Linked DNA regions of Solanum lycopersicum. The protein of the gene in region 1 binds, or shares a complex with, the protein of each later gene. Links are inferred from orthologs where the notes say so. Each region holds a gene or a part of one and is shown in the gene's direction. Other genes may lie near its edges. The genes, in order: nucleolar complex-associated protein 3 and nucleolar complex-associated protein 2.

Region 1 (16,930 bases):
TCTTCCCCCCTTTAATATGCTAAAATGAACAAATAAAAAAAAAAAATTATTTTTAATATAGTAGACAAGTAAAAGTGAATGTCACGAGTATGTGACTTGCTGATAAGGAAAGAGAGCAACCATTATACGATACCTTAAATTTTCATGTGGTACATAAATAGAGACTGACCAGCTCCATTCGGAAATTGGAAAAACAAAAGTAATATATGGAAGTACAAGAGTCAAATCATTGATTTTCCGTGTCAATTCAACAATTAATAATTAATATGAAGAATTATATATTAAAAACTAATACACAGTAATATATTTTTGCCGACTAGAGTAATATAATTTGAATGAGTAAAGATATTTTTTTACCTGAATGACAGGCAATGTAGGTGACTGTAGATCACGGAGCACATTCTTGAATAATCTCTTCAGTCTAAATCTGTACAATTTGGCATCTTCAAGAGTCTCTGTATCACTCTCACCTTGGTACCACAACAAAGCTTGAAGTTTTCCACCTCCTTGCAAAGCAGCTTCTGTTCTCCTTATCATATGATTATACAGAACACTGCCACGAGCCCATTCGCTTATATTTGTTCCTCCAATAGCACAAGGCACCAAACCGATCACTCCAATACTTGGATCTCTCTTCAGAACTGAATTGGCAAATGACATACCTGGCCCAACTCCACAAACTTTACCCAAATCTATGTCTTGGTGAAGTGGTTCCTGAGCTTCAACCCATGTAAGTCCTGCATTGAGTCTGAGGATGTTTGAGTTGGATTGACATTCTGGTGGAATCACACCATCCCATGTCTCATTAGCCAGGCCATTTTGGCCATGGTTAATGACACCACCTCGGCCGGACATGTTGCTTTGTCCGGCTAATATGAATATGTTTAGGACCTTTGAAGTTGAAACATCTGCTAGATCTGCTGTATTTACCCACCTGATGTGTGTTAGAAGTATTAACCAAAGAAAGGAAATCATTGTTTTCTTGAAATTGAGGCAAAACTGTGACATCAAGCAAGTGATCTGCCCATAAGAAGGAATATAGAAAGGGCTAGGTGGAGTGTGAAAAGGTGAGAGGAGGTTGCTGCCTAATTGGCCCAATCTTAAAGCAAGATGTGTTGATTTCTTTATTACAACTGTATTGGGATTTTTTTCTCTTAAAACCCAAACCTACCTTTAATTATCAGCTGTTGAATAAGACTAGGAGACAAACTTTTTGGTTGTTCAAGTTTCCACATCTAAGCATATGTCAGTTCCACCTATTAATCTACTACTACTGTTTTCATGGACACTTCATATCATCGTTGTCCTTAATTATCACTTTCATTTCCATATCCTAGTGTTAAAAAGTGACTCATAACATTGGTCTAGGTGTCTTTTCATTCCATTAAAATAAGGCCACAAAAGTTAAGCCAACATACACAATTACTGTAATCCACAGCAGTTGGAATTAGATGCCCCTCCAAATCCCCCAAAAAAGGGATTGCAACTTTACTAGCAATACTTATCCCAAAAATGAAAAAAGAATTGACCATCTTTTACCCCATGGTCACTAACTTACCAATCCTTGAGGGAAAAGAATATATTAGATTGCAACAAGATTTTAACGAGAGGTCTTGCACAAAGCATCCCGCATTAGCAGGGTCTAGAGAAGGGCTGCACCCTAGGGGTGTGATGTAGATCGTCTTTTAATGGCTACTTCCACCTATTTTAAAGTTAAAAAAGATAAAGTTTCTCCACCTATTTTTACTGGTGAATCTCTTTCTAGAATCGAAATCTATTCGAGCATTCAATTGGAAATAAATAGAATATGAGAAATTCTAGAAAACACAGATTACTTGCCCGAGCAAACTGGAAATAGAAAAAGTAAAGCCAATGCAAATCTGCTGCTGCAACATTTACACCTATAACACTAGAAAATAAAAATACAGAAGCATTGCATTATCTACGATGCAGTCTAACAAATCAGAAATATGTTCCACTGCGAAAGGAAATGATTTTCATGACAGATGACGAAGATTTGAACATTGTTCTTCCTCAGAAGATTCCAAACAATTACTATCCACAATGAGAACACCACCTAATTAACCATAAAATCATGCAATACTTTCAAAAATCTGCAGTACATCTTCATGATACTGTTAGAACAAAACGAAAATACTGGATGCAACAATATTGAAATATTTGGTACATGAAGCCATGGTCTGATAGATATGCATCGAAGTCGATCAAATCTGAGTTCTCAAGTACTGCAGCATCTAGAGGTTATCAGATACTTCTAGAATATAACACTAGCAAACAAGTTTACTTCAATGAAGAACAAAATGTGAACAGTCAACACAGAACTATTGAATAGAGCAACAAATTGGATCGAACGAAAGTACTGGGATCAATTCAACGCCAGCAACAGCAGCAGGGTCCAAACGGAGAGTAAAGCAATAACTTGAACCAATAATTCCGTAACGCTGCAGAGTTTGAGCCTCTTGTTCTTCAATTTCTCCTTCACTATCTCCATCTTCAATTCCACCGCCTCTTTCAAATTCTCCTCATTCTGAAATCATCAAAAATCAAAAACTTCAACAACAAAAATTTCCGAACTATATATCATATAATAATCAAACGCATGTAAAACAGAGTGAAACGGAAAGTGATTGAATACCTTGTTTTGGTTAAGATTCGCATAATCTAGAGTAGTATTTTTCAGCGATGAGATGAGAATTGCAGATTTAGCACATTGAATTGCGACTTTAGGCTTGAGAGCTTCAGCTATTTCTCTTTCACTTGTGATGTCCTCCATTTTCTCTCTGTTTTCGCGCTTGAGAAAGTGTTCTGTTTCACGTGAACGTTATGATTGTAAAAAGTACTTTCCCTCTCAAAAAGTACTCTCTATATACTGTGAAAATTGCATTTTTGTTGCGTCTGACAAAATTTTTGACACTCAAATTTGCGTTAGAAACTTATTTTTATAATATTCGAATAATTTTTTTTATTTCTCCACTCGTTAGGAAATCATGAATGGCCGCCCATAAAATTTTGGAAAATTTTGATATTTATATCCCAGAAGTTCCCGAATTTTTTGGACACATTCATTCAGCTAATACATTGCAAATAATACATTACTCTCGAATATTTTTATAATCAAAATTTAAGAAATTATAATATTTTAAGTTGTATATTTCTGTACTTTAAATACTCATATCTCTAATTTACTCGACCACTTCTGAATTGTTACACCTATTAAAAGAAAACAATGATTTACATAATGAATCTTGTTACTTTATGAAGTTGATGAATCAAAAACTTAATATTTTTAAAAGATTCTTATTTTTTTCAAAATAATTAATTAAAAAAATTATTCTTTCTTAATCTGTTCACAATTGACAAGTAAAGACCGCACGAGAGAAAGACCAAAAACAGAATATCCTTTCTTGTGCCTTTAAAATGACACCCCATTAAACAGCCATGGCCCATGCGTTTGTGTTGGGTCAAATATTTATACACTAATCTCCGCCCTTGTTTTCAGTATCACATATTAATCTCCTAGGTTGAGTTTTCTATCGCACTTGTTTAAAATACTTTTGTGTTGGGTCAAATATTATACACTAATCTCCGCCCTTGTTTTCAATATTACACACTAATCTCCGAGGTTTAGTTTTTGTCTAAATTCTGTGATTATGGCATTAAGCGTATCTTGTACAACTAAACTGTGATTTTGGTATCAAGCATCGTGCTCACCTCTAGATCCTTTTTGACTCGAGAAGAGCTCGACTCTATACGTACTTGTTATTTCCTATATAATTTGCTTTTGAGTCTAGAGATGACTTACTCATTTACCCGTAACGAGCATGCTTAAAATATAAATATAAATGCAAAGAGAACAGGATTCCTTTCATAGAAAATATCTGCTTGTAATTTGACTACTGAAACACCAACGAGACTGTTTACCCAGTTCAAAGAACTAACACACATTGAACACACTTCAAAAACTCAAAAGCTGACAAAGGGTTTTACTTTGCCATTATTGAAAACACAAATACTGCACTTGTTTATTAGGGGTCGCATGTGAACACACGAATTGCGACAGACGCATAGAAGAAAGATTTCAAAAGACCGAGTCTACTTGATCAGTGAGATGCTATCTTGCTACTGATTGACTTGTTAAACCATGTCTTCCAGCTTCCAGCTCCCTTCCGGATTGGTGACTGCTTACCACCATCGGCTGTTTTCTCGCCCTGTGATGACTTCTTGAACAGCATGAAGTTCCGAACTCCAAGCGATCCAATAGTCTCCCATGGACCAAGAGCTGCAATGTGAACATAAGCACAAGTAAAATACTCCATTGGGACAAAAAACAAGAGCCTCTATAACACGGGACAACAAGCAGTTCATCTACTAATTTAGAGTGAGCACCAACGGTACATCAAACACAGCGTAATCCCACAAATCAGGGTCTGAGAAGGCAAGTGCATAGGCAGATCAGAGGGTACAGAAGGAGTTCCCCATATACCCTCAGCTCTCAACAGTTTGACCTTTTCTCCAACAAACACCAAAATTTTACAATGTTGGAACATTAAAAGCATTTTAGAGCACAAAACGAACACACGTACAATCGTACCAGATGCAAATTGTTCATATGATTTAAACAAACTAATCATAAAGTTGAAGCAAGCAGCTATAGCATATCAACAACAAACTCGAGCATATGCAACTTGATAATCAAACTAATAACAGGAACAAGTTATTAAACATAATCACAAAAGCAACCAAATGCAAGGAACAAAGAGCAAACTTAATGATCTAACAAATCAAGTTTGCACAAATAAATCAGCATCGTCAAATCAGCAAAATTATACAAAAGCCAGCTAATTTATAAAAGCAAGCAAAGCTACAGAAAAAACAAACTACTTCCTAACAAGCAGAAATCTCAATACAACACAATTCAGAATACATCAACTAGATAATCAGCACGAGTTTAAAATTTTCTGATGCAAAAAACAAAGAGCGGACCAAAAATTCTCACCAACAAAACACAAACGAAGCTAGATACAACACAAACAAATCACCCATATATATAATTTATAAAAAAAGGGTAAAAGCACAACATCTATTATATTTCTATACATGATGATATAGTGAGAATTACCTTCAGTGCCAGCACTGGGGCAATAAAGCACAAAGTTACTGAAGTCAGAACCAAGAACAGGAAGGCGGCCTTCCCTAGCATAAGCTTTCATTGCAGTATCAATAACATCAGCCACAAGCTCCTCTTCATTAACAACAAACCGGATCGGACCGGCACTTCCGAGAACCGTAATACTAATCAAAATCCGGTTACCTTTTCCGGTTTGATTCTTCTTTGGCTTGTAAAGCAACATCTTGTTTTTAATTTCAAATTTTTTTCTGATAATTTTCCAAAATTTATTTTCAATCATACAAATCAGAGCAAAAAGAAGAAAAAATCACGATTTCGAGAAATTGTGGGAAAAGCGAACAGCGTTTAAGGGTCAACGCCGAGGCAGCGGAAGTACCAGCCTTCTTTGCAAGAGCCAAAGGAGAAAGCAGATGAAACAGAGATCCCCCTTTTTGGTGTTAAAGGGGAGATCATTAACAAGTTCTTGAGGATTTCTACCATTCACAATGGAATTCGAAAGAAAAAGAAAGAAAACAATTCTTAAGATGAAAGAAACAAAGTTTTTTTCGAGAGAAAAACAACGATGGATGATGAGTTTGGGCTGGCGATGAAGAATAATAGTGGTTTATATAGAATTAGGGTTAGGGTTTTTGTTTTCCTGTATATATAGATGTTTCTGATTTTCTCTTTCTTTCTGATTATTGCTAAATAAAGCGATTGTTTTTTCCTTTTCCTTTTTCTTTTCCTTCTTGGTGTAGAATTAATAAAATCAAATTCAACCCGTTTAATTCGTTTAAATTTGGGTGGTTGATTTATTAGCTCAAACTTTTTTATAACACTAACTGATTACAGAATATTAATTGCCGTGAAGTTCCAATTGATTCATAAAAGAATTTTATCAGAAAAAATTATTTAATTCTTTTTTTACTTTTTAATTTGAATTGCTATATATAATTATAATAAAAAATAATAATTTTATTAGATAATAAATAGTTATAAAAACTAAATAAAATAATGAAATTTAATAAATATAATTTTAATTAAGTCTTGATCTATTATATAATTTATTACGTTATTCATTTTGATCCAACTTTCTTTTGATCTAAGGATGTGTTTGGTACGAAGGAAAATATTTTTCATAAAAAATGTTTTTCTAGAAAATATTAACGTGGAAAATAAATAGATTTTAAATTTATTTTTTCATGTTTGGTTGGTGAGTAAAAAATATTTTTCGAAAATGATTTTTAGTGTTTGATTTATGAATGAATATTTTTGAGGAACATCTTTTATTTTTATTAGAATAGAAAATAATTTATGAAATAAAAAAAAATTAAAAACAATTTTTTTGGGGGTGGGGGTAGTGGGGGAGGCAGGGAAGGGGGTAGGAGTGAAAAAATAAATTTTTGAAGTTGATAGTATTTTTAAAAAGCAAAATTAATTTTTTGAGGAGTTGGGGTGGGGGGCTGGTAGAGGGTGGGTAGGGGGGCTGGCCGGGGAGGCAGGAGTTTAAAAATAAAAATTTGAAGTTGAAAAAATTATTAAAAATAAAATTATTTTTTTGGGAAAGGGGGCTGGAGTGGAGGGTGGTCAGGAATCAGGTGAAAAAATAAAATTTTGAAATTGAAAATATTTTTATTTTTTAAAAAATTGATGTTTTACTAAAAAAAATGTAATTTGAAATTGAAAGAGAGATTTGAAAAAATTGTTTTTTCTTAATTTTTAAGGGAAGTTATTTTCCTTAATTTTGAGAAAAATAAGTTAAATTTGAAAAACATTTTTCAAAACTTTTGTCGCAATCAAACATGAGAAATTTAAAAAATATTTTTTAGAAAATATTTTTCTTCATACCAAACACATTCTAAATATATGCTGAGTTAGTTAAATTTATCTTAATTCATTATGATCCGATTAATTATCATCCCCTAGGATGCTTAAATTTTTTGTTTTAAAATTTTTATGGTTCTTTCTAGAAGACTGGGATAAACTGCACCGACTCATTGTACAGGGATGAGCATCACTGAACAGTTCTAATCACATACGGCTCATTCGCATAAAGCCACAAATGTACAAAAATAAATATATTGCCAGATATACTTTATGATGTAAAAAGAATATTAGCCCTGGATATTGAAAATTATATATAGTGAAAAATTGAAATATGAAATGTGAAGTTACGTAGAACTTTTTTTGTTCTGTTTATTTATTTATTTTTATTAGATACATAATATTAAGAAAATAATACTAATTAACAGTAAATTTATTATTTTACCCTTATTAATTGATAGAATTCTAAAATTAATTTATCCATTAGAAAAGTTTTACGTATTTATAATAAATAAGAGAAAATATTATTTTTTTGGTATGTTAAAAATTACGAATAAAAAATTAAAATTAAATAAATAAAAAGAATAAAGTGAGTACTTTTGAGAATCGAAGTTGTGTCTTTTAATTTTTAAAAATTAAAACTTTTTAGGGACCCAACCTTTTAAGTAATATATACTAATTTTTTAAAGGACATATCTTGTAATCTAGATATTATATTTTCTTTAAGAAGTACTTTTACTTATAATTTTATTAAATGAGAAGCAAAAGCAATTCTTTTCTTTTAGGCTTTGGATGGGTTATTTGAACATATAATCATGGAAACTATAGAAGAAGAAAAAAAGTATAACCACAATACCAATAATATGAGCAAGAAACATAATATTATAGTCATAATTAAAAAATTTATACACTCTGTCTTTTTGCTAGTAATTTTAAAGAAAACATCTTTAATGTATTACACTTTCCGTTTGTAATTGACCAATACATTTAAATATCCAATCCAATTATAGAGATCAAAACAATGTGAACTAAAGGACTCGAACTATTAAAATAATTGGTAAACAAGACAAACTTATTTAATTAATTTCACTAATTTAAAACGTAATTTAAAGATCTGGAGATCAAAGATCATGACTCTATGGTACATGAGATCATTTTGCAGAACAACATGTTACCTACAAAGAAAATAACATTTTGAAAAAGATCTCTACCAATCAAAGAAAATATTATAAAATTAGTTTTAACAAGAAAGAGAATCAAAAGAGAGTATATGCTGTTTAGGTTATCAACCTACTTCCTAAAAAAAAAAATACTTCCTGAATTACTTTCATAAAATTTATTATTTGTGCTTGAAATCCAGTCATATGTATAATTTCATAAACTTACGAAAGAGACTTTTATAATTAAAAGGATCGAGGGACATATATTAAGCTCACAAATATCTGACACATATTCGATTTTGATTGAAATTGTAGTTACGATGACGAATTTTATGGAGGGTCTTTTACCCAACACTATTTAATAGTGTATTTTAAAGGTATCTATGCGCTCAAGTGAACATCATAAAAATTGCATCATTTTAAATAGTAATGTGTTCACGTGCGCACACATATTCCTTTAAGATAAATTTTAAGAAATGCACGCGGGTAAAAGATCCTCTATAACGTTTGGTATCGTAACAACAATTTCGACCAAAATTTTGAGACCTTTTTTTCAATAAACAATAAACAAAGTTTGAAATTTCTCTATTCATTCTTTACACTCCCTTGGCATCACATGAACAAAGAACGAAAATTTTATATTAAATGTTTACACCCAACACTGAACTATCGATCGTGAAGCTATCAGATTGAATCAATAGTACATCTTTAGATATTTATTATCAAGAAAGGAAAAACTTGCAAACTTAGCCAAAATGACCCAACATTGGCTATTTGTGCACTTACATCTGAACTTGGGTGAAAGCCCATATTTCTTTTTTTGATGGGCCGATAGAAATAGTAGACCCAAACCCAAACTTTCGCTCCAATTCAGTTTGAGCCCTCAAATTAATTTTCTCACACTCAGCCGCTTCCCTCCTCCCTCCCTTTCTGCAAAAACACCATACTATAATCATTCTCTCTCAAGAGAAAAAAATCAAATTAAAGTGTATGTTCATCTTTCTCTCTGCATATTATACCGATTATTTGCTTGTGCTACTTTGATTTTGTGATTGTGTTCTAATATTCGTGTTCGTTTAAGCAAGTAACTCTTTTTTTGTTGAAATTTTTGCTTAGTGAAGCTCAGGTTATGTTTAGTTGATTTTAGAAGCTCACAGTTTGTAATATACCTCTTGCAGAGATTATTAGTAATGGGGAAGAAAAAGCAAAAGATTGTGCTACCTCCTGATCTTCCACCGGAAGTTCCTGATGAAGCAGTCGAAGTATCAGATGAAGACGTGCTTTTTGTAAGCGAAAATCGAGAATATACTGGATTCTTGTCGAATTTGGATACGAAGTCAATTAATAAGTAAGCAATTATTGGCATGTATATGTGTTTATTCTCACTCTATGTTGTTGGAGCTAATGCACATACAGATATGTTTGTTTTTTTTTAAAATAAATTTTATTTGTAAATGAGCATTTCTCGACATGTTTTTAGGTTGTTTTTGACTTTATTTTTGTGGATTGATGCATAGATAGCGAAAAATTTTCATTTTGATTTGGTAAGTTGGATGATTTGAATGTATTAATCTGTCTCTTTTGTTTGAAAAATGTTCACTCACAAGTCTACATATCCGAAAACTAGAAAAGACACAGCTCTTGCCAAGGGGAATATACTGTTTAATTGATTTGGAGAGACTTATATTTGAAATTATATTTGATATTAGTTATTTTCGGAAAAACGGGTTTTTCGCCTAACGTCTCTTATGATCGGTTGATCAACCTGATAAAAACATATGACCGGTTGATCAGATATCGATTTTCCTAAAGAAGAAGAAAAATCATGGAAGAACGATTTTAAATGCCTAGAGGGAAATTAGCTCTATGTAGGAAGGGAGTTGGAAGAAAGGAGGCAGAGGAGGATTGAGTACAAAGTATTCCAGCCTGCATATGGTGGACAGTTTGGAGGGAGAGAAACTTAAGACATTTTGAAGATAGAAGAAATTCCATTCAGAAGATCATGATGAATAGCTTCAGCCTTATCTATTTTTGGTATAAGCAGGTTTTAACGGGGGAAATGGGAGATTTAGTAGATTTTCATAGGCAAAGTGTAAGAAAATAGATGTACAAATGAACCCCCATACTCCTTTTTTGTAATTGTAAATCCTCTCCCTCGGCATTTGGTGCTGAGTTTTCTATGAATACGAGTTACCTTTATCTCAAAAAATTGTAGGATACCTATCTATTGTATAACTTGTGCTTCATTTGACACTTCCACATATTAATGTACTATATGGAGTATGCTAGAGCTTTATCTAAGTGGCCAGTGTCTTTTCCCACTGTATTGGTGTTATCCTTGCCTTCATGCTCATCTCTTATTGAAAAATTCTATTCAGTGACGTGTTGGAGAGTATTTTCCAAGATACAATAGGTAAAAGGTTAAACTTCTGGCATTGAAGGGTACTATGTTGGTGCTTTCTGCCAAAATCATCTCATCATTAAAAAAGATTTACTTGATGATCCAACTGTGTATTTTACATTTCCCCCAAATAAATGGGAGGCCAATAAACTCCTCTCTCATGATCAGGATTTCCAAACTTAAGATTGTTATTTGACTTAAAATTATTGAAGTGCTACAAACATTGCTGGATCAAATAGTAGATTTTAGTTAGAAAAGATCAAATAGGTAGAAAAGCAAGTCTATCTCAAAGAATTTGCTTCCCTTTTCTACTTCGGAATCCATTTTTTGGCCGCAGAAGTGGGTTTAATCAGGGAAACAATTCTTCCACGTTACACATGTTTGAGCTTTGGCAGGCATAATAGCTCATTTGCAATCAATCCATTCTCTCCCGTCTGAATGAGTTATTCAAACTGACACAAGATTGACAGCTGAGCATATTTTCCTGCCAGATTCTATTGCGGCCTGCAGTAATGTTTGGTTCACAGTGAACTTTTTTTTTCCTTTTCGAAAATCTAGTTTTAAGTGGTCGCTAAATTACCTTTAGCTCCCACAGTTTGACTCTTTGTTCAGAAGCTCCAGAGCTCAATTAGTTTAATGCTTATCCTAGTTTTGTAGCTTGTCAATGGGCCCATAATTCACCAATTCGAAGAAGTTCACCATATCCTGGAATTTTCTTAAGCTCTTGTAATCTTCTCACAGTATCCTGGATTATTGAATAGTTCACCCTGGTGCCCCTGTAATTGGGGGTCGTTTTCATTTCCCACTCTTGACGTTTTCCTTGGCGTTTGGCCCTTTTTCAGGTTAATCTATCTGACACTGCAACTTTTATTTGTTCAACAGGTTGCTATGTTTCTTAAAAATTGTGAGAGTGATGTTTCCTTTTGTATTTGCTTGAGTTGTATTTTTTGCTATGTTCAACATTAGAGTACGATTTAGTTAGAACATCTGTTTCTTTAAGTTTCTTATTTCCTATTCCAGTCTTATGCAAGTCTATTAACTTTCTAAAGTCCTATAACTGATCTTATTATTGTTATTGGAAAGGCATGTTACTCGTGTTGCCGATGTGAAAGAAGATGAGCTAGAGTCTCTGTATGAAAGGCGATTAAAGAAGAAGTCACTTGATAAAGAAACAGAAAAACAGGGACTAGAGGTTGATCCTGTGGATGCTCTTCCTGTGAAGACATTAGATGGAAAACTTTATTACAGGACAGGTACTGAAAGCTCTTGTTCAGTCATCATCACCCGGTATTTTACCTGCTGTAACCGTTAATTGAGTCTTTTCATGATATACAGTGCCAAAGGCTACACAAAAATCTGAAAACGAAGATAAAGATGAAGCTACTACTAACAACAAAGAGGCTGGTATTGATGCAAGTGTGGTGAGGCTGACTAAAGCAGAGAAGCGTGCCAAATTGAAGAAAATTAGGAAAGAGGCCAAGAAACAGGCAAAAGAGGGGACAGAAGTAGAAGATGTTGAGCAAATACCTCAAGCTGAAGTCTTGGTATGTGCATTATATATCCAAAAGATATGCTGTAGTGCTTGAATATCTATCCTGAAGTAATTTTAAATTGTAGATTACAATGCAAAGAGTGAAAGAGGCACTTGAACTTTTGAAAAGAGTATATATGATGAGAGTTGGGTACTACATAAGTTAATGCTGGCACCCCTAGTTGCACTGTCACTATACTGTTAATTAGTGGAATTAATACCTGGTTTCGTTGCTTCATGTTTTCCTAATTTTGGTAAAGGAGGAGATCTTAAACCACTTGGATTGGGGTGATCCTTGTAAGAGGTGTTGTAGCGTGATTTGAGCTAGGCATTTCTGTGCGAACTATTCTGGAAAATGATACTCCCTCGGACCCAAAAATCAGAATGACAAACCTGTCTTTAGCTGTCCCAAACACACTTCCTCTTTTTTTGTCAATACTCTTTCAATATATAGTATGTACGAAGTTTTGTGAGCTAATTTTTATATTCTTCTCCAACAAAATAACCACTGTTATTAAAAGCCATCAGCCATCGTTAAATAACGTAGCAATGCAAAATAAGAGATTATTGCCTTATGGAAGAAACTATGAATTTTAGATGGTGAGGTGTAAAGTAAACTTACAAGAAGCGGTTGATTTTCTGAATCGAATTTCACTGGATAAAAAAAGACAAATAATAAAAAAGAACAGGAAAAATAGGGCTTTTTTATATCAAGTGTACTTGGGACTTCTCTTATATACACTTTAGTGTCCTCTTTGCTGCTGTCTTCTTCTTCTTGAGCTTGTAGCACCTTCTCTTCTACTACCTTTGTTTTTCTGCTCCTTGGGAATCACATCTTTTTTTGATAACTGTGGTGTCCCAGCCAGCTTCTGAATCACTTCCTTCTTCTTCTGATTTCTCTCTTCAACTCTCTTTGTTCAATCACTTAAACAAAAAATTTAAACTAAATGCCAATAATTCTCTTCTGTATTTGATGAATTGGAAAATAGCTTTGCAATTCTATTTATAATTCAGTGGCGTTGTTGAAGTATATATTACTGATGTTTACTTCAAATTCTAGGATTTAAATTGTCATTACCTTAACTGTGGTAAAAAAAGACACTTACATTTGGATACAAGTATATTGATTTTTACTTCCTTGGTGTTAGGACGAAGTGAGAAATGATATGACAGCAGAAGAGGCCAATCAAAAAAAGAAGTTTAGACTAGCTGAGCTGGGAACTGCACTGCTTACTGATCCTGAATCAAACATCAAATCTCTCAAGGAGATGCTGGAGATTTCTAAAGATGGTGATCGTGACATTGCGGTACTTTCCCTTCAGTCTTTGTTGGCCGTTTTCAGAGATATCATCCCCGGGTGAGAAGTTTGCAAGAGTTCATGGGCTGCTTCTAGTTTACTTGTTGTAGTTTTTTTTGTTCTTTTGTCAACTTTACGATGTAAACAATTTACTCTTCTTACGTCTCTTCAATTTGTTCTCCAGGTATCGCATCCGTCTGCCAACTGAAAAGGAGCAGGAGATGAAAGTATCAAAGGCTGTTAAGAAAATGCGGTTCTATGAATCTACCCTCTTATCTGCATATAAGGTTGTAATAATTGATTGACATCTGAATTCATTTTATAGCTGCTAGTGCATATTGTTAGTAACATGCTTTACCACTTTGTTGTGTTCCATTTCTTTGTTTGAAAATTATTGTGCTACCTTTTTAGTGCACTATGTTAACAGACTTTTGACCTTTTGCCTTGTGGATGGAAAAATACGAATTCAGACCATACTCCATAGAAATTGTACTTCGTTTGGAATAAGAAGTATGAAACACAGGAACATATATTCTTTGAGCTGTTCTTGTTTCTGGTGTTACATGGTAGCATCTTGAGGTACTTAATGCAGATAAGAGTGCTAGGGCTGCTGTAATAATTAATGTATTCCTCCAGATTTTAGGTTGACTTATTGAATTCTCATTACATTGCAACTATTTTACATATTTCTACCTGTTATTAGGTTTGAATAAACACCAGACAAACTATTTTTTGTCCAGGGCATTGTATGAATTATCTTAGCTGTGGGATATTAAATTCAAATTATTAAAGTAAATTCATTACCTGAGAATGAGTCAATAAGTTTGACGAGTGTAAGGGCTAGCTGGACTCCTATGTTAAGCATGTTCACATACTGCAGCAACTTCTATGAAATGAATAGAAGTAAAAGTAAGAATTTGTCTTTGAAAGTGGGTCAATCAAATGGGTACAATCTAAGTTATTATGTATCAGTATGACTGTACGTTTTCTCAAATATTTTTCTTGATATATCTCGTATCAGGAAGGTAAGTTGCTGAGATGAAGAAAATTTGAAATAGAATGTGATTTTCCTATTTCAAAATGGTCTTAGAGACTTAACTTGCATCCTTAGAAATGTTACTCGTATATGTCGGATAGCAGATTCAAATATAATTCAAATATATATATGTACGTGTGTGGGTCGGATAATTTTGCTCATTACTCCTTTTCCTATTTGGGTATTAACAGGCGTATATACAGAAACTGCTAGCTGTTGAAAAGCAGGCTGTATACAAACGTGTGGCAGTTCGCTGCATCTGTATATTACTCGAGGCAGTTCCACACTTCAATTTCCGTGAGAATTTGTTAGGTGCTGTCATAAGAAACATAAGTTCTGAGGATGACATATCGAGGTAAATTATGCCTACTGCTCCTCTTTCGTTTCCTTCCATTTTGTATCTTTTGCCCTCCATGAATCCTTAATTGGGTTGCATTATGATCCTTTTCTGGTGGTTGCTTTGGCATTACAGAGGATGCAAGACAAGCTTATTTGAGGATTTAAAAGGGCTTCTCGTTAGTTAATCAATGCAACATATTTGTTTACTTTAATGCTTTACATTCATCCAATATATAATGTCTAATATATTTTCCTGTTTTAGTTGATGTAATTCGATTAGGCATATATATTAGGGAATAGTTGAGACTTATACTTTAACTTTAAATTATGAAGCTGAACCTTTAATTTTGCTATATTAAATCCCTAGCCAACTTTTTGCTAATATTAACTTTAAAATCTTTTGTTAAAGAATGACAAAAGTCTCACATCAGTGGTTAATGAGGTGGATGGACTCTTTATAAGGCTTGGGCAATCCTCCTCCCTTTGAGCTAGCTTTTGGGGTGTGAGTTAGGCCTAAGACCTAATTTCAACATGGTATCAGAGAGGGCTCGTCTCACTCGATGTTGGGACCCCCACAAATCAAAAATTGCCCACGCACCAGATGCCAAGCACTGGGCGTGAGATGGGGTGTTAAAGAATGACAAAAGTCCCAAATCGGTGGTTAATGAGATGGGTGGACTTCTTGAAGAATTGGGCAATCCTAAGACCTTTTGGGTGTGAGTTATGCCTAAGACCTGATTTCAACAGCTTTGATAGTGGAAGAAGAAGTTTTCGTTTTAAAGAGGTGAGCTTAGTCTTAGTGGCAATCTATACTCCCCAGACCACATGTGGGATTACACCGTATTTGTTGTTGTTTTTGCTTCTTGTCTTGTCCAAGTTGAATGCTAATATGTCATTTCAAGATATACTAAATTGCTTTTATTGGCGAAGCTTGAAAATCTGTTGTAGAGTTCGTGCACTTTAAAGTTATTGAGATATGTTGCATTGTTTTGTAGATTAGTCCTCTCTCTCCATAGATGCATGCTGATTGTGAAACAGAATATTCAATTTTTTTTTTGATGATACGCTTGTGCCTCCAGGATATGCTGTTTTTGAAGTATCAACTATGTTCTCTCAAGTTTATCTATCTACTGCTTGTTGACAGGAAACTTTGCTGTGCTACTGTTAAGTCACTTTTCACCAATGAGGGGAAGCACGGTGGTGAGGTAACGGTGGAGGCTGTTCAAATGATTGCAGACCTTGTTAAAGCTTCTGATTGTCAACTACATCCTGATTCCATTGAGGTCTGCAATTTTAATACCGACACTTTGGTTTTAGGATATTTTTTCTAAGATTGTTTATGATGACATATTGAACTTAAATATGATGTGAATTTGAAGCATATATCTTGGGTATTGGGAAAAAGGTGAATATTCCAATGTTAAATGTGGTGGCAGTGTCAAATAATTGACAGAGAAGATGGCGATAAATGCTAGTCCACATATGAATTAATACTCTCAACAACATCTATTCAAGTACAGGGTCTACACTAGATTTAGCAGTGGGAGAATGATTGTCCTCCTAATTTGATTTTGTCATGCTCAGGTGTTTATGTCTCTGACATTTGATGATGATCTTGGAAGGCGCGAAGCTCAAGATGCTAAGAATAAATTTAAAAGCAAAAATGCCAAAAGAAAGGACCTTAAGGAGCAGAAAGAATCAGCTGCCAACGAGAAAAAGAGAACACGGAAAGAGATGATGTCAAAGACACGAGAAGAGGTATTCTTTTGCCAACATGATCTGTGACTGGACTTGTTAAGTGTAAGTTCATTTGCGCATCTCATGTTTTTACAGGTCACCACAGAATTGAAGGCTGCTTCATTAGCTACCGATGTTGCTGAAAGGAGAAGGATGCAGACTGATGTATTATCAGCTATCTTTGAGACATACTTTCGTGTCCTAAAGCATGCAATAAAGCCTAGGTATGTTTTTCTTGCTGATGATTGAGTGGAGCATGTCAATCAGTGGATTCAATTATCATGAACACTCTAGGTTTGAACTTGAACCACATCATAGAACTAGTTCTCAGTGAGGAAAGAAAAATACTGTGCTTCCATTTTCGGGCTACCTGTCGTTTATTGTTATTTTGGTTAAATTGTATTTTGATTTTATGAGAAATCCTGTCATACAAATGTATAGGGAAGTAGAGAATCTCACACAAAAACATGATCCTTT
Region 2 (17,237 bases), on another chromosome or scaffold:
CTGTGACTTGTAATTCTTATCATTATTATCCACCTAGTATTAATTCTTTACAGATTATGTACCTTTTTTTTTGTTTTTGGAAAACACATATTTTAGTAAAGAAGGACTAGGATAGAAATTGGATTTGTTTTTTGACTATAGATATCTAAATATATATTATAGAATTTTACTATCTTATTTGGATGATTTATTTATAAAAACAAAGACCAATTTCTATTTTGGGAGAATGATAGTGGAGAATGATAGTGGAGAAAATCCTACAAAGGTTAACAAATATGCATGCGCTTGTGCAATTGTTGCTTCTATGATATCTATCATATTTGGTTATGGTAAGTTTCATTCTTCATTACTTCAAATTGTCCGAAGTTCGAAATATAGTGTCTTGGTTAATTTAAATTCAGTTCATTAAGGAGCTAAAACATTCCTTATTATGAAAAAAGTTCTACATTCACATGTCAAGGAATTATTGAGCTAACGATGTACGATTTTGTAAATATCTTTTGATTGTAACTAGCATCGTTATTATTAATTACTTTCTCTGGCTCAATTTACGTGACATACTTTTTGTTAATTTTTTTTTTAAAATGTCATATTTCTATAATTAAAAACAATTCTACTTTAAAAACCTCTGTTTACCCTTTTAAATGGCCAACAGATGTTTTAGATCACGGATTTTTTTATGTCAAGTCAAATTGTGTCACATAATAAATGGAGAACAAAGGAAGAATATATAATCGATAAGAAATGAAAAAGTATTAGTGTTAATATGTTCTAACAATAATTTTATGTTTTTTTTTTTGTCAGATACTGGTGTTATGAGTGGAGCAATGATATATGTGAAAAAAGAATGCCAAAACAGAAATATTAGCAGGGATTCTAAATTTATGTGCTTTAGTTGGGTCACTTCGTGCAGGAAGAACATCTGATAAAATTGGAAGACGTAACACTATAGTTGTAGCTTCAGTAATTTTCATGATTGGATCAATTTTAATGGGATATGGACCATCTTATATAGCATTATTAGTTGGAAGATGTATTGCTGGTGTTGGTGTTGGATTTGCACTTATGATAGCACCTATTTATTCAGCAGAAGTTTCATCACCATCGTCACGTGGATTTTTAACATCTCTACCAGAAATTATTTTACTTGGTTATCTAATTACATTTTTTCAACTTAGTATAGTTACAACTTATGGTTTTTCAATATTGGTCTTGGTCCAGTTACTTGGGTTTAGGTATAGGGCATTGGGTGCTGGTATTGGTGTTGCTGTTAATAGGTTGACGAATGCTACTGTTTCTATGAGTTTTCTGTCCATTTCTGAAGCAATTACAACTGGAGGTGCTTTTTTCATGTTTGCTGCAGTCTCTTTGGTGGCTTTGATTTTCTTCTATTTCATGTGCCCTGAGACTAAAGGAAAGTCTTTGGAAGAAATGGAATCTGTTTTCACTAGAAGCAAATCCTCAGATAATTTCAAAAAATAGGCATTGAGAGCATGCAGGAGTTAACACTTTGTATATATTTCTGTAATTGTAAATGGTAATAGTTAACATTATATTATGATATGAAACTATCTGATATTATGTCCAAAGTAACTGTTTTTACATTTTTGTGAGAGGTCATGATGATAAGCTTTAGGTAGACATTCATGCGATCAAAATGATAAACATACCTTCTACTTGCACATTATTCCTTCCATTCTGAATAATCATCATACCTTCTGCTTTGGTATAATCACCACTACATAACCAAAATCCTCAGAGCTTTAGAGGACTAAATAGTTACTAGTCGGAGGAAGGAAATAATGTTTAAAATGGATAGCTACAAGATGAAAAGATCTCACCTTCTTCCCCTACGGTAGTTGCATCAAGTTAAAATTGAGAAAGATGGAGGGTATGTTTGTGTGTTCTTTTCTTTCTCAGGCAAACAGAGGCACAAACATGTCAAATGCAGTAAAGTACCACGATAACAACAAATGATGAAGTAAATCCAAAACAAAATTCAAACTGGAAAGCATTTGACATAAATATGCATGCAGTTGTAAGAAGACAAATCCACCACTTAGTTTTAGTACAACATGTCACACATGGCGTAGAGAGAGTTCAATGATGTCATATGCTAGATTGGAAGGCATTCTACGACTATTCTTCTACTGTAGGTTGAGTCAGTCCAGCACTCACCAACATTTTGTTCAGAGTTTCGGGAGAGCATGCTTGATACTTGACTTTCCCGTTAGAGAGAAATACCTCAGCAAGTTCAAGTTTCTCCGAAGTGAGGCTAGTGCTGTCCATTGTCTTACCAAGCACTTTAAGAGCAAGTTGAACGGCCTCTTCCCTTGTGATATCATCCTTGTAATCCTGCTTAAGAATTGATTGAGCTGCCTGGTTGTTTGCTCCAATTGCTGCGGCTTTCCAACCACCGTAATTTCCACTTGGGTCGCTCATGTAAAGTTGGAAGCCATAGTTTTTATCCCAACCTGCAAAGAGAAATGAAACACCAAAAGGGCGAAGCCCACCAAACTGTGTGTAACCTTGCTTGGTATCACATAGTGACTGGACAAGTTGCTCAACTGGCATGGGTTCTTGATAAGCGAACGTATAGCGCTGAGCCTGAAACCTGGCTGTGTTGATCAGAATGTTGGCATCAGACATAATTCCAGCTACAGCGCATGCCACATGATCATCGATCTTGTACATCTTCTCACTTGAAGTAGAGGTCTGAAGCAGCTTAGATGTAACTTTCTTTTCACCTACCAACACCACCCCATCCTTGGACAAGATGCCTATAGCACTACCTGCATTTCCAATAGCCTCCATTGCGTACTCAACTTGGTAGAGACGACCTTCTGGGGAGAAGATTGTTGTTCGGCTATCATACCTTCGTGACATTTTTTTCTTTACTGCAGAATACCTGATAAATTAACATAACTTGAGCTAGTTAGATAAAAATTTCAGAGCACATAAAACATGGTTCATTTTTTTACCCTTCCCATGAATAAGTCTAACTAACGAGCATGTTGGCAAACACAACAGAAAGAAAGATACAAAACTGAGTCGAAACAATATATAAGTCCACACAAGAGTTGAAGTTGAAAATTGTCAACCTCAGGGACTTCCCACCTGTATGGATAAACTTGTGGACATTTGAAGTGTGTGTACAGTGATACTGGTAAGAAGAGATTTCATAGATGAGCTTGCACTAAGCAAATGCATGAATAAAGAAGGTGCAACTCCTCGATTGTATCTAACATTGCATCTACATCATGTACAAGAACCAGGTTTCACCAAAAAGCTAGCAAATAAATACGTTTGTGTTCAAGGCTAAGTATATTTCTTCTTTTCCCTTGAAAATTCTGCTATTTCTTTCAAGCCAACTGTCCACCAAATGGCCTGAGAAATAGTATTCCAAGTTTTTTGGAATTTCTTTTTGAGACCCTCGTTGTTTCAACTATGCAGCAGATAAGTCAGGAGTTTGGCATAGTCCAATACATGCCAAGTAGTGCAAAATACATACCCAAGATGAAGTTGGAGCTGACACTTCATGATGTCATTTAATGAAATTCCTTATCTCATAAAAAAATGTTTCAGAGTGCTAACTGCTAACCCTTCCCTGTACTTCTCAAAACAAACTAACAGGGGCAGTTTAGCATTCCAAAATTAAGGCCCATATGGCATGTGAATGAATTACATTTAGAGAGAAGAAATTTTAACTGAAAAAAACTTGAATATGCAGTTAGCTAAATAAGGAGCAGCAACAAGGATTGCCAGAAGATAACAAGTATAAAAATCATTAGTTAGATCAGAGTTTTCTTTTCTATTTTTCTTCTAACTTGAGGTCAGTGTCAGCTAATCTATATTTATCTGCTATAGATTAAGAAAATAACAAGTCTGTTCTTTCCGTTTTATTTTGGTAGGCATCAAACTGTACAATTTCTTAGTGGTACCAACCAAAGCAGCTTGTTTACCACTTTCACTTCATTAACGATGGGAACTCAAGACAGAATGGGCAGCTAAAAGAGATAATGACAGATTAAACAATGATTATTAGGAGGATTATTTTCATCAAGTCCAGCACCTTTTGAGATCCAACAAGGCAAGGAACCTTCTGAAAATACTGTCCAGTTTGTCGAAAAGGGAATCATTAGCAAGGCCATTGTGGGCAACAAGATCACAATGCAAGTTGCAGATGGAAGAGATTATACAAGTCACGGCAATGAGCCAAAAGGAATTACGACTGGGGACATAACAGAATTTATGGTGCAACTTCTTAGGATTTGAATCAAAAAGAAAAAAGCACTAGCATTATTGCGTATTAAGTTCCACAGGAAATGTGAAAAACTTGGAGGGAGAATTGTTTGTGGGGAAGAGCTCTACTTTGAGTGATTGCAGACTCATGAATTTGGTAGGTTCTGGTAGAATTTTACTAGTAGCAAAAGCAAAGAAGACAAATCACTTTGTCATAACTCTTACTTGAAACACTAAGATGTGGCTTGCCCACTAGAGTAATATAAATACAATTGCCAGACTGGAGGCTAGTACCACCAGTGTCAACTTCAGTTCTTGCAATTGAAACCAAAAGATTTTAAGAGTAGCTCAATTGTATACTAATTGGATGCAGGATACAGTCTGCACTTGGTACAAAGACGGAGATAACTTCTCAAGAAATCAAATCAGGAGCAATGTGATCCAAGGTTAAATATTATCCTAGATTTCAATTAAGAAAACATCAAATGTTTACCAGAGATTGGTTATATGTTGCTCCAAGATAAAAAAAATTTTGTAAAAGGTGAACAGGGGATTATAAAAAGGACCAATTGTAAGAAGGGATTTAAGGCAGCTAAGGTAAACTATTAGCTGTCAGGATCAGAAATCTTATATTAGGTTTCTGTAGATTAAGGCTAAAGTTTGGTACATTTACACTTTCACTCCTTATATTCCAATAAAAATCTAAGAGCATTGTTCAAAAAGGAGAGATAAAGAAAGGAACTATAAAATCGAGAGTTAACAACGCCGAGTGGGTATAGTATTAAAACTCAGTAAACACTGCAGCAATCTTACAACTTAGACTAAACATGCCTTTAACTGCTAAGGAACTATTGTTTACTACAAGGGGAAGAATCTATGTAGACAAACACTAACTAGATCTATCTCCTTTTTAACACTTGAATCTTCAACCGAGGTCGGTACAGTTATTCAATACAGTATACATGAATTCCACACTCAAAGCCATCCTAGAGAAGACCTCACTGGACATTCCAAATGAAGAAATTTTTATAAATTGGTCCAGTCATTCAAAACCCTCCTATAACACTGTGTGGTGCTGTAATTTATCTTTCAAATATACACCAAAAACACCATGGCATAACTACCTAAATCAGGTCATACGACAGGACGGGTTGCTCACATGGCAATCACCCTCCAACCCCCAACCCTAAGGTTGGGGTTCGAGTCACCAATGGAGCTAAAAGGTGCGAGAGCTCCTGGGCAGGGGTTAAAACCCTAGTCATATTCTGCAACTTATACTTCATAAACACCAGATACCCACCCAACTTCCCTAACTAGTGACACCCATAAGCTAAATTGTCTCCATTGCACGTCTTAATGAAATTTGTCTCTCTTTTTTTTCTAATTAAAACAATTCTTTACAACCAGAGCTGCTATAGAAATGAACTTATCGCGCCACCGGTAAAATATTTGTCGTCAATTATCATTTACTTGCAAGAGATCAATTAAACTCCTTCTCATGTAAACCCTCTTCCTACTTTCACAAAAAAAACCCAAAATTTTCCATACATTTTCTTGAAAATATAACCCAAGAAGTTCAACTAATTTACTTATCAATAGAATAACACAAACCCATCACTGAGTTCAACAAAAAGAACATTACAAAAATCAAGAAAAATACCAAGAAATTGGGAAAAGGGAGAGGGTTTATATCGATCAACGCATCAGTAATAGGAAAAAAAAATCGCCATTTGAAGATATAGAAAGATACCTGAGATGTGAGATCTAAAGAGAAGCGCAATGAAAAGAGTCGAGAGGTTTTCTCTTCTTTATGTAGACGAAGAGTGAAGCTAGTCTTATTGCGCAAGTTTTTTATACGGGTCGGGTCGGGTGTCCGCTGAGGCCTAAAGTAGGAATTGCGTCTGGTAGCCAGTTTTCAACCTACTATTTAAGTGATATTCAGTTTTTTTCAAAATATATTTAAAATATAGCCAGTACTGTCAAGGTTGAAATTAGATTAATTTGAGTTGAAATTTTATCTCTATTCAAACTTTTACGAAGGTCACAAAAGAATCAGTTTGAAGTAGTTTGATTTAAAACGAGGGTATTACATAATTTCAAGAATTTGAGTTTAGGGAAGTTGTCATATACCATATTTCAAATTTCATCTTCGAGAATTGTTAGCCTTAAAGCCGTTAATATAACTTGTTAAAACAAAAAATGATTATATAATAAGACAATCAAAATATAAGTTATATTTCTTAGAAATACGTCAATACATTTCTTGAAGATGATTGGAGTTTTCTTATGTTATGAAAGAATAAATAATAACTCTATTTTTGCGATTCAGCTAAATTATAAAACAAACGACATTAAAGTACGTTGTTCTTTACTAATTTCAATTGAGATTCATCATTTATTACAAAAAGAAAATCCATATCTACTCACGCTCTTTTAGAAAATAAAAGTTTTATTAATGTACTTCATCATCGTAACTTTAATTATTATTATTTTTGAATCCAAATTACATAATTAGGTAGAATTACATAAACTAAAAAACTTTATTTTCATCGCTTTATAAAATTCAACTAAATTTTGTAGTCAAACAAAGCCCACCAAGTTTGGACTAGCCAACCCTTCTTCAAATCACAGCCATTAATTCATCAATCAAGTGTCCAAGAAAATTAGAAGATGAGCCATTTTCCTTCCAAACATCCTTGCATTTCTCACTCATTTTCTTGAACTTTTGTCTCACCTCACCATCACCATCACCATCCATTAATTTTTTAACCCCTTTTGCCACTTCCTCTGATGAAACCAATGTGGTGCCATCTCTATAATCCATTGTGATTTCCACAGCCAAATCCAACTCTTTCACCAACTCAAATGCATTCAAGTGTTGCTCTGCATATATTGGCCATGTACCAATTGGCACTCCGTAATATAAACTTTCGAGAATCGAATTCCAACCACAGTGTGACACAAATCCTCCGATAGCCTTATGGGCCAAGATTGTAACTTGTGGGACCAACCCACACACTAGCCCTCTCCCTTTTGTTGATTCTAAAAACCCATTAGGTAAAATTTCCTCTAAGTTTGTATAATCATTTGGAAGTTCTCTTTTATCCTTCGGTGCTTCTCTAATTGCCCACAAAAAAGGGTGTCCTGCTTTCTCCAAACCTTTTGCTATTTCCATCACTTGTGAATCTTTAAGACTTCCCATACTTCCAAAACTCAAGAAAATTACTGATGATGGTTCTTGATTATCAAGCCATTTCATAACATTTTCATGACCCCAAGAATCTTGATGCCACTGAGCTGGTCCATTATGATCCACTACAGGTCCAATTGGATAAATTGGTGGTACAACATGACTAGTTGTAGTATGTACTAATGAGTTTAAGCAATATGGTTCAAGTTCTTGAAACGTGTTGACAATAATACCCTTTGTTTCTTTGTACCTTTTTGCATGATGTAGGAACCAAGAATAACCATCTATATGTCTTTTTAGCATGAATGAAGGGAAACATTTGATAGGGACAGGATTGGAAAAACCAAGAATGTTGAAATCATTGGCTGAATCTTTGTACTCAATATTAGTACTAACTTGAGCATCTAATATTGGGAGATGCAACATGAAGCTCAAGAAAGTAGCAGGGGAAGCAAAGTAGAGATAACATGGGATGTTTAGTTCCTTAGCTACATCAATAAAAGATGTACAAAACATGTCAATAAAGAATCCAACAACTTGCCCCGAGTCCGAGTCTGAAATAAGGTCAATAAGTGCATTTTTGACTTGTAACGTGTGATTTTGTATTAATAGCGATAAAAAGCCTATAGTTGCGTCGAATTGATCGAGCGATGGTGGATCCGCCACGGGGAGGGAGAGGAAATGGATGTTTCCGGTGGCGGCGGTGGTGAGAGAGTCAATATAGGATTGGACAAGTGGTCTTTGAGGGATGTTAATTAAGAGTATGGTGGCTGAAATATTTTTGTTTTTTTGAGTGAAGACTTTAGCAAACTCAATAATTGGAACAATGTTGCCAAGTGCTGGTGTTGAAATGAACACTACCTTTCCTCTTTTCATGGTTGCTTTAGGATTTGGCTTGAATTCATTGGAGATAAGGTGGTCACTATATATAAATTATCAAGTACTAGTACTGTTTTCTATAAGTCTTCTTTTTTTATTGGTGGATCTTTACTATTCTAATTAAAAATTTGGCTCATTTATGTTATTATTGTTAAAAAAAATGTTCATTCATACCATTATTTTTAACGGTGCTTTTGCAAGTCATTTTGACACATGGTCAATTCTAATTCGGATACGTCATCAATTTTTTTAATTAAAAAAATCATAATTCTGAAAAAAAAATTGAATTATTTTTTTTTATGTTTTTGGCCACGTCATCAATTTTTTAAATAAAAAAAATCAAATTTTTGAATAAAAAATGAATTTTTTTAATTAAAAAAATTGATGATGCCAAATCACGTGTTAAAATGGTTTTGCAAAATCACCGTTAAAAATAATGGCGTGAATGAGCTTTTTCTTTAACTGTAATGACATAAATGAGCCAAACTTTTAACTGATGATATAAAAGAGCCTTTTCTAAAAGTTTAATGGCATATTTAAGTCTTTTCCCAAAAAAAAAAAGAGAAAAACTTTCATATATAACCCCTTAAAAATAATAATATGCATGTGAGTTCATTAGGTAGGTCATTTAATAATTATAATTATAATAATAGGCATGTGAGTTCACTAGGTAGGTCATTCCATAAATTTATCTTTTTCAATTGGGTAGTAGGTGGTAGTAGATAACAAAGTGCCAAAGCCTTTCTTCTGGTCAGAAAAAATAAAAGGTTTCTGTCTGTTAACCCAACAAATTTTACATTCAAATTATGATAAGTTCCGAACTCATGAACATGATAAAGTATTATTGAAATATTAAAGTTTTTATGTCTATTGAAGAATAGTTAAATTAATCAGCATAAATATGTTATTATTTTTACAAGTATACACATCAATCATAATTGGAACAAGTCTAAAATTTTACGATTGAATTCACTAAAAATGTTGTTTAATGGATTATCTATCATTTTAGGTATAATTCTTTTCAATTTCTTTTAGGTATATTATAAATAATGAATCAAACAATATTTATCTAATTATGAAAATACAATTAACTATTATTGTACTTACTACGAGGATATATTCAACCACTGTTACAACTTCTAAATTTTCATTTATACAAATATTTTCCTACTCTCTACCAACAAAAAGGAAAAAAAATAAATACAAAACAATGGGATTAGTTCATAAGATCTCCATTAGTCGCTGATTTTAGAAATAACTGTTTATTGAATATATTTTTTTTTCATCTTATAATTTATGAATCTTTATTTTCACGATCCAAAATTTTCTTTTTTAACAAATTAAAAATCCTATGAAAAAATGCCATAACAATCTAACTTATTGTTAGATGAAAGTCTTGTTAACTTCAAAGTCATATTTTTGCACAACTTTTAAAATTTTGGACAAAATTTAAATGATGTCCCAAAAAAGGGACCTTTGTGTAAAATGTAAATCAACCATTGGGCTCTATATTTTTTGACCCAAAATATCAGTACTCCGATAAGCCCAACTTCAACGTCTTCTACTGTTCAGCTTTGTCAATGGAGCTAAAATCTTCGGAACACTAAACCCTGGAGCAAATTATAGGGTTTTAGCGAGAGAAGGAAGAAACTCACAAATTTCAATCAATGGGGATGAAGAACAAAGGTGTCTTTTTTTACTCTTTTCTTTCAACGCACTTTCATGTTTTACATCCTATTTCATGCTATTTTTTTCTTCTTTTTTGTTGCTTGGAAATGTCAGAATCGAAGAAATTGAGCAAAAAATCTTCTGGGGTTGAAGAAAAGACAGATGAAATGATGCCCAAATCATCTTCAGAGCAAAATGTGGGAGGACATGCGGAGCAATTGAAAAGACTCCAAGAAAAGGTGAGATTTTTGTTGATATGTCTATGAGTTCTTTGCTTTCTTTCTGTGCTTTCAATTCTGTGTTTAGTACTTTATTTATGAATAGTTTTACTTTTCATATAAGTTTTGAAAAAACTCGAGGAATACTAAAACATGAGCAGCCAAACTTTTTGATGTGCCAGAAGCAGCAAACCAAGTTGCTTAAAGAACCAATTTCGTCTGTCGGTTATTGATTCATTATTTTATCAGATAAAATAAAATTTCATTTAGAATCAGTACCGAGATGGTACTTTGTGGAGTATACGATAGTAGAGTATTAGAATCCCAACACCATTTCCTTCCGATGCCAATATAATGATTCAATGATGTAGCTGGATAGGTTTCCTTACAGAGTTCAAGGTCATTCATCTATAACTCATTCCTATATTTAGCCTGTTTGCATCATTGAACAATGTAATTACATCTGCTATTCATTTTGATATAGTCAGTGCAAGAGTAGTGTGGTGCAAAATATTCATTCCATAATGTTTTGTACTGATTACTGTTAAATCTATTTAACCAGCATATGCCACATTTTTTTTCCTGTAGGATCCCGAGTTCTATCAATTCTTGCAAGAGCATGACAAGGATCTCCTAGATTTTGATGATGAGGATACTGATGTAAGTCTTTACAATATCTTCCCTTCTCATTGTTCTCATGGTATGTGAAATGTTTGTAGAATCTTATTCCAATTTTGTGAAGGATGATGACGAGACTGAAATGGATGGTGAGGAAATCGAAGATGATGAAGCTGATGAATTTGACACTGAACAACTTGTTCATGCAGATGGAAAGGAGGTCAAGTCATCCACAAATCTCATCACTACTGCAATGGTGGATGCTTGGTGTAGTTCAATTCATGAAAACAGGAGTTCGGGGGCTATTAGGTCTCTCATGAGAGCTTTCCGCACAGCTTGTCATTATGGCGATGATACTGGTGAAGATGCTAAGTCAAAGTGGAGTACTATGTCTAGCACTGTGTTCAACAAGATAATGTTATTTGTTCTAAAAGAAATGGATGGAATTCTTCGTGGCCTTTTGAAATTACCAACTTCTGGTGGGAAGAAGGAGATGATAAAGGATATGTCTAAAACTAAACGATGGAAGAGCAACAACCACTTGGTCAAATCATATCTTGGGAATGCGCTACATGTTCTAAATCAGATGACAGATACAGAAATGATATCATTTACATTACGAAGACTCAGATTTTCATCTGTATTTTTGGCTGCTTTTCCAGTTCTTTTGAGGAAATATATAAAGGTATGGGATTGACTGATCTAATACTTACTATTCACATAACTCTTTTCTTGTACAAAGAATGATTAATCTAGAATGACAGTTTTCTTCTGCTAGAATATAACTTTATTTGCAAGAGATTTGCATGTTTCATCCATTCCCCCTCTCCTTTGGGCAGTGGTGAGTTGGTTAGGCAATTTGCTGTTTTGAGGCTTCAGCTATAATCAAAAGCTAATTATCTTCAATTTGTCATTGGGGTCTTTTAAGTGTTTGGCCTTTGATCACTTCAAACTATGCACACTGCTTATTTCCTACTATCACAAACTAAGTAAATTCATTGAATTATGATCCATAAGAATTAAGTTTAAAAATATTCGCGAAGCACTCTCGGTTTAGACTTCTCTGTTTTTCAGAATACACGTGTCACATGGGTCTTTTGTTCTCTGCATGAGGTATTCTTCACACTGTCTAAAAGAATCAAGCTTAAGCATAATTTGACTTTTCAGGTTCTTCTTCATTTCTGGGGTACAGGCGGAGGTGCACTACCAGTTGTCTCTTTTTTGTTTCTAAGGGATCTGTGTATACAGCTTGGCTCTGATTGCATTGATGAGTGCATTAGAGGGATGTATAAAGCTTATTTATTGAACTGCCAATTCATGAATGCGTCAAAGCTGCAGCATATTCAATTTCTTGGTAATTGTTTCGTTGAACTCCTTAGGGTGGATCTTCCCAATGCGTACCAGCATGCCTTTGTTTTCATTCGGCAGTTGGCAATGATTTTACGGGATGCGCATAGTAGTACTAAGACCAAGGTTTGTTATTTTGTTTCTGATAACTTGTCTTCTTTCTGACTATTTGTTACCAACCATTGATATAAGCTTATTCTATAAATCTTTTAGGAGTAAAACTTAAAAAGGTATCTTGTGTAGCACTTTTTTTTTTAAATAACTTTAGATTAAGAATACTTGGCTTAATAGTTCCAACATACATGTTAGCTTAATTCATATTTTCACGTTTGAAAAGATGTTCAAAGAGTATCAAGTGGCTTCAGCATTTTACATTACTGGTAGCATCTTATCCTACTGAAAGTTATCCTTGCCTTTTAGTGGCCGCTAATTATTGTTATCCCTTTGTCTAATCTTTCCTAGAAATCGTCTAAAAAGGCTAACCAATCATCCAAGGAAGCACACAATACCAAGGGCAAGGTACTTTGACTCTTAACTTGTCACCTTTTTATTTGTTTTGGATTATGGTTACCAAAATGTGATCTTTTTAACTTTCCCTCTTTTAGTCAACTAAGTTCTGGTAGAATATTCTGCTTTGAAGAGTTGAGAAAATGCATTTTAGCCTTCATTTGTAATTTTCAAGAGACAAAGTAGCTTAGAGTGTCAAGTTGATCATGAAATTACAGTCTGTTATGTTGCTTCAGTATTATGCACATGTTGTATATCTTTTCGTAGTTATATTTGCCTTTTAGGGGATCCAATCACAGTTTCTTTGTTTTCAATCCTTCTCAGGAATCATTTCTGAAGGTTTACCAGTGGAAGTATATACACTGTCTTGAGCTTTGGACTGCAGCTATCTGTGCATACAGTTCAGAACCTGAGTTTAGGCCCCTGGCTTATCCGCTGACGCAAATAATTTCTGGAGCAGCTCGTTTGGTTCCAACTGCTCGCTATTTTCCCCTTAGATTGCGATGCATCAAAATGCTCAACAGAATTGCTGCATCCACCAATTCTTTTGTTCCTGTTTCCCCACTCCTCTTAGACATGTTGGAAATAAAAGAATTGCGTAGGCCTCCAACAGGGGGAGTTGGAAAAGCCATAGATTTCCGTACTGTTTTAAGGGTACTTCTAGAATGCCTCTCTACTTACTTTAGTTTAATAGTGTACTGCTTTACAAGAACTTGTCTAGCTGTCTGAATCTATATTTGATGTATCAGGTTAGCAAGCTTACTTTGAAAACGAGAGCATTCCAGGAAGCATGTGTGTTTTCTGTGGTTGAGGAACTTGCTGAGCATCTTGCTCAATGGAGCTATTCAGTTGGTTTCTTTGAGCTCTCTTCTGTCCCTGTTGTTAGGTTACGCAACTTCTGCAAGTCCACCAATGTTGATAGATTCCGTCGCGAAATAAAGCAAATTATTCGCGAGGTATGTTTGTTGGGTACTTGATTCTATTTGCTGATATGAGTGGATTATTTTCTCAAGTCACATGTCTGCACTAATAACTTTGCATAGTTTTCTGAGTTCAAAAGATCTTCTGCAGTATCGATTCTGGGATATCTAACTTTGCATAGTTGCATTTAGATTCTATTATGGGCTATTTGTTAGCTGGCACCAATTGTTTCTTCTGAAATGAAGCCTTTGTTATAAGTTCCTGAAGTTGACTTGGTAAATCTACAGATTGAAGCCAATTCGGAGTACACAAATAAGAAGCGCATGACAGTTTCATTTCTGCCTAATGACCCAGCGGCAGCATCTTTTCTTGAGGTTTGAACATCTTGATGTTTATCTTTCTCATTACCAGTAAAATTTCATTCAATCACCTTTCATTTTTCAACCAACCTATACCTGGTATCTTCTCTTGTTAGTAATGAACACATTGAAAGCTTTGTCCACTTATCAAAGCATCCTTCTGACGAACACGAATAGGTTGGGGTGTTATAGAGATTTGTGTGTCTAGGATTAATCCACGGGATCATTTTTTCATGATTTGGCTCCCTTGAAACAATTCTGACCTTCATGTTTATCCTTAGGATGATAAGAATGCAGGGGTGAGTCCTCTATCAAAATATGTTGCTAGTCTCCGACAGAGAGCACAACAGAGAAATGATTCATTAAAGGAATCCAGGTTTCACAACACTCTATTTTTCTTAAGATTTTTATCTGGAGACATCTTTCTGTTAATCATAAAGTAATGAACTTGTCTATCTGCAGTATACTCGTTGGCCAAGATTCATCTGCCTTCGGGAGTAAGATAACTGAAAGCGATGAAGATGATGATGTTGAAGATAGCAAAGGAGATGCTGTCTTCAGTTCTTCTTGGCTACCAGCAGGCACTCCTAAGTACGTTCACATTCTTCTTCACCACTTACCTATTCCCACCACCTATAACTCTCTCCTCGAGAGGAAAAGAACCCTTGAGACCTGACAGGAAGGGATCAACAAGCTATCTTTATTTTGTTGGTGTATATGAATGTATTTGTCTGGTATAATGTTTTGCAGGGATGAGGAGTCTACAGAGGAGAAACAACAGAAAAAGAAGAGAAGGAAGGATCAGCAAGATGAAACTGCGTTTGACGAAGACATTGTAGAGGATTTTATTCTCAGTTCTGATGATGAGGAGGGTTCCTTGAGTGACGCCCCCTCTGATGAAGAAGCCAGCATAAAACAAAAGCCATCTAAAGCGCCTTCAAAGAAGAAAGGGAAAACTCATCGGAGGAAGAACAAGAAAAGGAAGCAATCCAATCAAGCAGCATCTTCTGTCTGATGATTCTTGTACAAGGAACAAGAACAGTGTAGCATAAGCCAGTTTGTCCAGTGTAAGCTCTAAGCAAAATATATTATACTGTACTAGTTAGCTATCAATTTTGTTTTCCTTTATCCTAAAAAAATTTTCGTGCCATGTAGGGCAGACTACGTATAACAATTCATACATAACTAATCGCAACTAGTTGGGAATGGAGATGTAATTCATTGATCGATCTATTTCTTTTTGGCACTTATAGAGGTCGTTCTTTTGATGTACCCCTTTGATCACAACTCGAGTTATGTTCACTCTCAATGTTGGAGTGTGTACTTGCTACACGAGATTTAGTTTGAGTGTCTGTTTATGTATAATGCCTTTTGTTTAGCTTACAACTTGAGTTACGTTACAAGTTACCATTTATCAACAGAAAATTTTAAATTTCAGAATAAGAAACCTTCGAAAAACTTGTTTTGTTCACAAATTCATTTGTTTTTGTGAAATGCAAAAGTAATTAATAAAGTTTTTTTTTTCAATACATATATAACAATACTATACCTAGTGGAAGTTTATAAGAAGGGTTTTAGAATGGTAGAAATTATGTAGAATTTAACATTAACATCCAATAATTGCATGTAGTTGATTTTGTTCTCACTCTTAAAAATTATGAGATGAACAAGTTTTACTTTTTCTTTTTTCATACTTTTCACTTATTTCAAGAGAAAAACCAACTAATCAACCAGAAGCTAATTTTCATTTATAACTTTGAAATTAACTTTCTTATAGCAAATGAGGTTATTATATTCCACGTGGCAAAAAAATGACTTAGAATCAAATCAAAACGAGGGATCCTAACAATTTTAGCTTGTATAATAAACTAATTATATATCGATTATCCATCGTAAACTTTGGTTAAAATTTACAAAAAAAAGTTAGAAAATTAGATTTGTAAGATGGTTGTGTACTGTAAATATGTCGAATACTCTATGATATGCTAATAAAATCATCGGTAAAATTGACAACATAACGATATTCTTGTTGTTTTAATGATTAGGGTTTTCTACTTTGGTATTTTCAAAAGGAAGTAAAAAAAGATACCTAACTAAACTATATATAAGCACAAATCAATGTAAAACTCATATTAATAAGTCAACCAACAATAGTAGAGTACAAACTTTCTTCTTACTAAAGACTTGGTAATATAAAAACACTAGATAATTAAACACTAAAAATACAATTAATTAAGGTCCAAATGAAACACTATTCATAGTACTAGTACTACTGATACCCCACTTGTAAACAGTTTAACTATCAGTTGAATGACTGAAAGGGCAATGTCAACTGATCAAGAAGTGCACCAATAGGTGCAGCAAGTCTAGGGTCATAACCAAATCCATGCAACTCTCCCCCTCCAACTCCAAATTCTCCACAATAATTATTACTACTACCAACACCACCATAGTCTAAATTATTTCCCAAAAATGGACAAGGAGGTATCCAAATCCATCTCTTCTTACAGAAATCAAACAACAATGCCTTATCTGAATTATTCTTAATCATTATCACCACATATTCACCATGTCCAACACAACTAAACCCTTGTCCATTCTCCACTTCAGCAAACTGCACATACAATTGTTGTGGCATTCTTTCTATTTCCAACCACATTGTACCACAATCTTGCAATGCCCAAAGCCTCAAACTTCTTGGCACATTCAGTTTACTCTTTTCAACTGCTGCAACTAAAACAACCTTACCATTCCCTTCAACAAGGCTCGGTGAACGTAGGAATCGTCGCATCGGGGCTTGAATCTTGCACCAGTTATTAGTCCCTATATCATAAGAAAGCACACTAAAAGGACTAAAATTCATGCAATAAAATCTCCCCTGTACATGCACCATTTTGCCTGATTCAAAACTGCATAATCTTGGAAGTGTAGAAGTTGTACCCCATATTGAGTAAAATCCATTACCATCAATATGAAATGACTCTGTAGTTAAGTTTTTAACAGCATAAGGTGATATCAAGTCATCTCCAGCTACAGCTATATCAATAGATGTGTTGGTTATAGTTAAACCAATAGAAGGAAAAAGCCTAGGCCTTAAAGTTGGAGGCAGGGGAATTATGGATCCTACAAGTGGATTACATAAAAGAATGTTTTTTGATCCAGATTCATCAGAAACAAAGCAAATTAATCCACCAGAAGATGAAACAGGAGAAAACCCTTGTGGGATTAAAGCAAAAGAAAGCCTATACCAACAAAGATTATCAGGATCAAACAAGTAACCTTCAACAG

The links.
Region 2: nucleolar complex-associated protein 3 (region 1) and nucleolar complex-associated protein 2 share a complex: the UniProt entries of both Arabidopsis thaliana proteins name them as parts of the nucleolar complex. The link is inferred for Solanum lycopersicum from reciprocal best matches to the Arabidopsis thaliana genes AT1G79150 and AT2G18220.

Annotation. Positions count from the first base shown.
Region 1 is NC_090803.1:61,907,733-61,924,662, reverse strand, and holds the start of nucleolar complex-associated protein 3, read left to right. Parts: upstream 1-8,974; 5' UTR 8,975-9,100; intron 9,101-9,290; 5' UTR 9,291-9,302; coding exon 9,303-9,460; intron 9,461-11,596; coding exon 11,597-11,766; intron 11,767-11,848; coding exon 11,849-12,057; intron 12,058-13,192; coding exon 13,193-13,401; intron 13,402-13,525; coding exon 13,526-13,628; intron 13,629-14,568; coding exon 14,569-14,732; intron 14,733-15,860; coding exon 15,861-15,999; intron 16,000-16,300; coding exon 16,301-16,474; intron 16,475-16,549; coding exon 16,550-16,677; intron 16,678-16,930. Other genes in the region: probable carbohydrate esterase At4g34215, read right to left, coding at 358-1,008; uncharacterized protein At4g22758, read right to left, coding at 4,122-4,300, 5,141-5,429. UniProt on the Arabidopsis thaliana protein: May be required for synthesis of 60S ribosomal subunits and the transport of pre-ribosomes from the nucleoplasm to the cytoplasm. Also required for initiation of DNA replication.
Region 2 is NC_090801.1:61,735,097-61,752,333, reverse strand, and holds nucleolar complex-associated protein 2, read left to right. Parts: upstream 1-9,841; 5' UTR 9,842-9,978; coding exon 9,979-9,997; intron 9,998-10,093; coding exon 10,094-10,218; intron 10,219-10,785; coding exon 10,786-10,857; intron 10,858-10,939; coding exon 10,940-11,500; intron 11,501-11,982; coding exon 11,983-12,288; intron 12,289-12,624; coding exon 12,625-12,681; intron 12,682-12,993; coding exon 12,994-13,323; intron 13,324-13,418; coding exon 13,419-13,625; intron 13,626-13,877; coding exon 13,878-13,964; intron 13,965-14,230; coding exon 14,231-14,325; intron 14,326-14,411; coding exon 14,412-14,540; intron 14,541-14,699; coding exon 14,700-14,964; 3' UTR 14,965-15,221; downstream 15,222-17,237. Other genes in the region: proteasome subunit alpha type-4, read right to left, coding at 2,140-2,886; UDP-glycosyltransferase 43, read right to left, coding at 6,863-8,308; DOT (DOUBLE TOP), read right to left, coding at 16,252-17,237. UniProt on the Arabidopsis thaliana protein: Together with SWA2, probably involved in pre-ribosome export from the nucleus to the cytoplasm.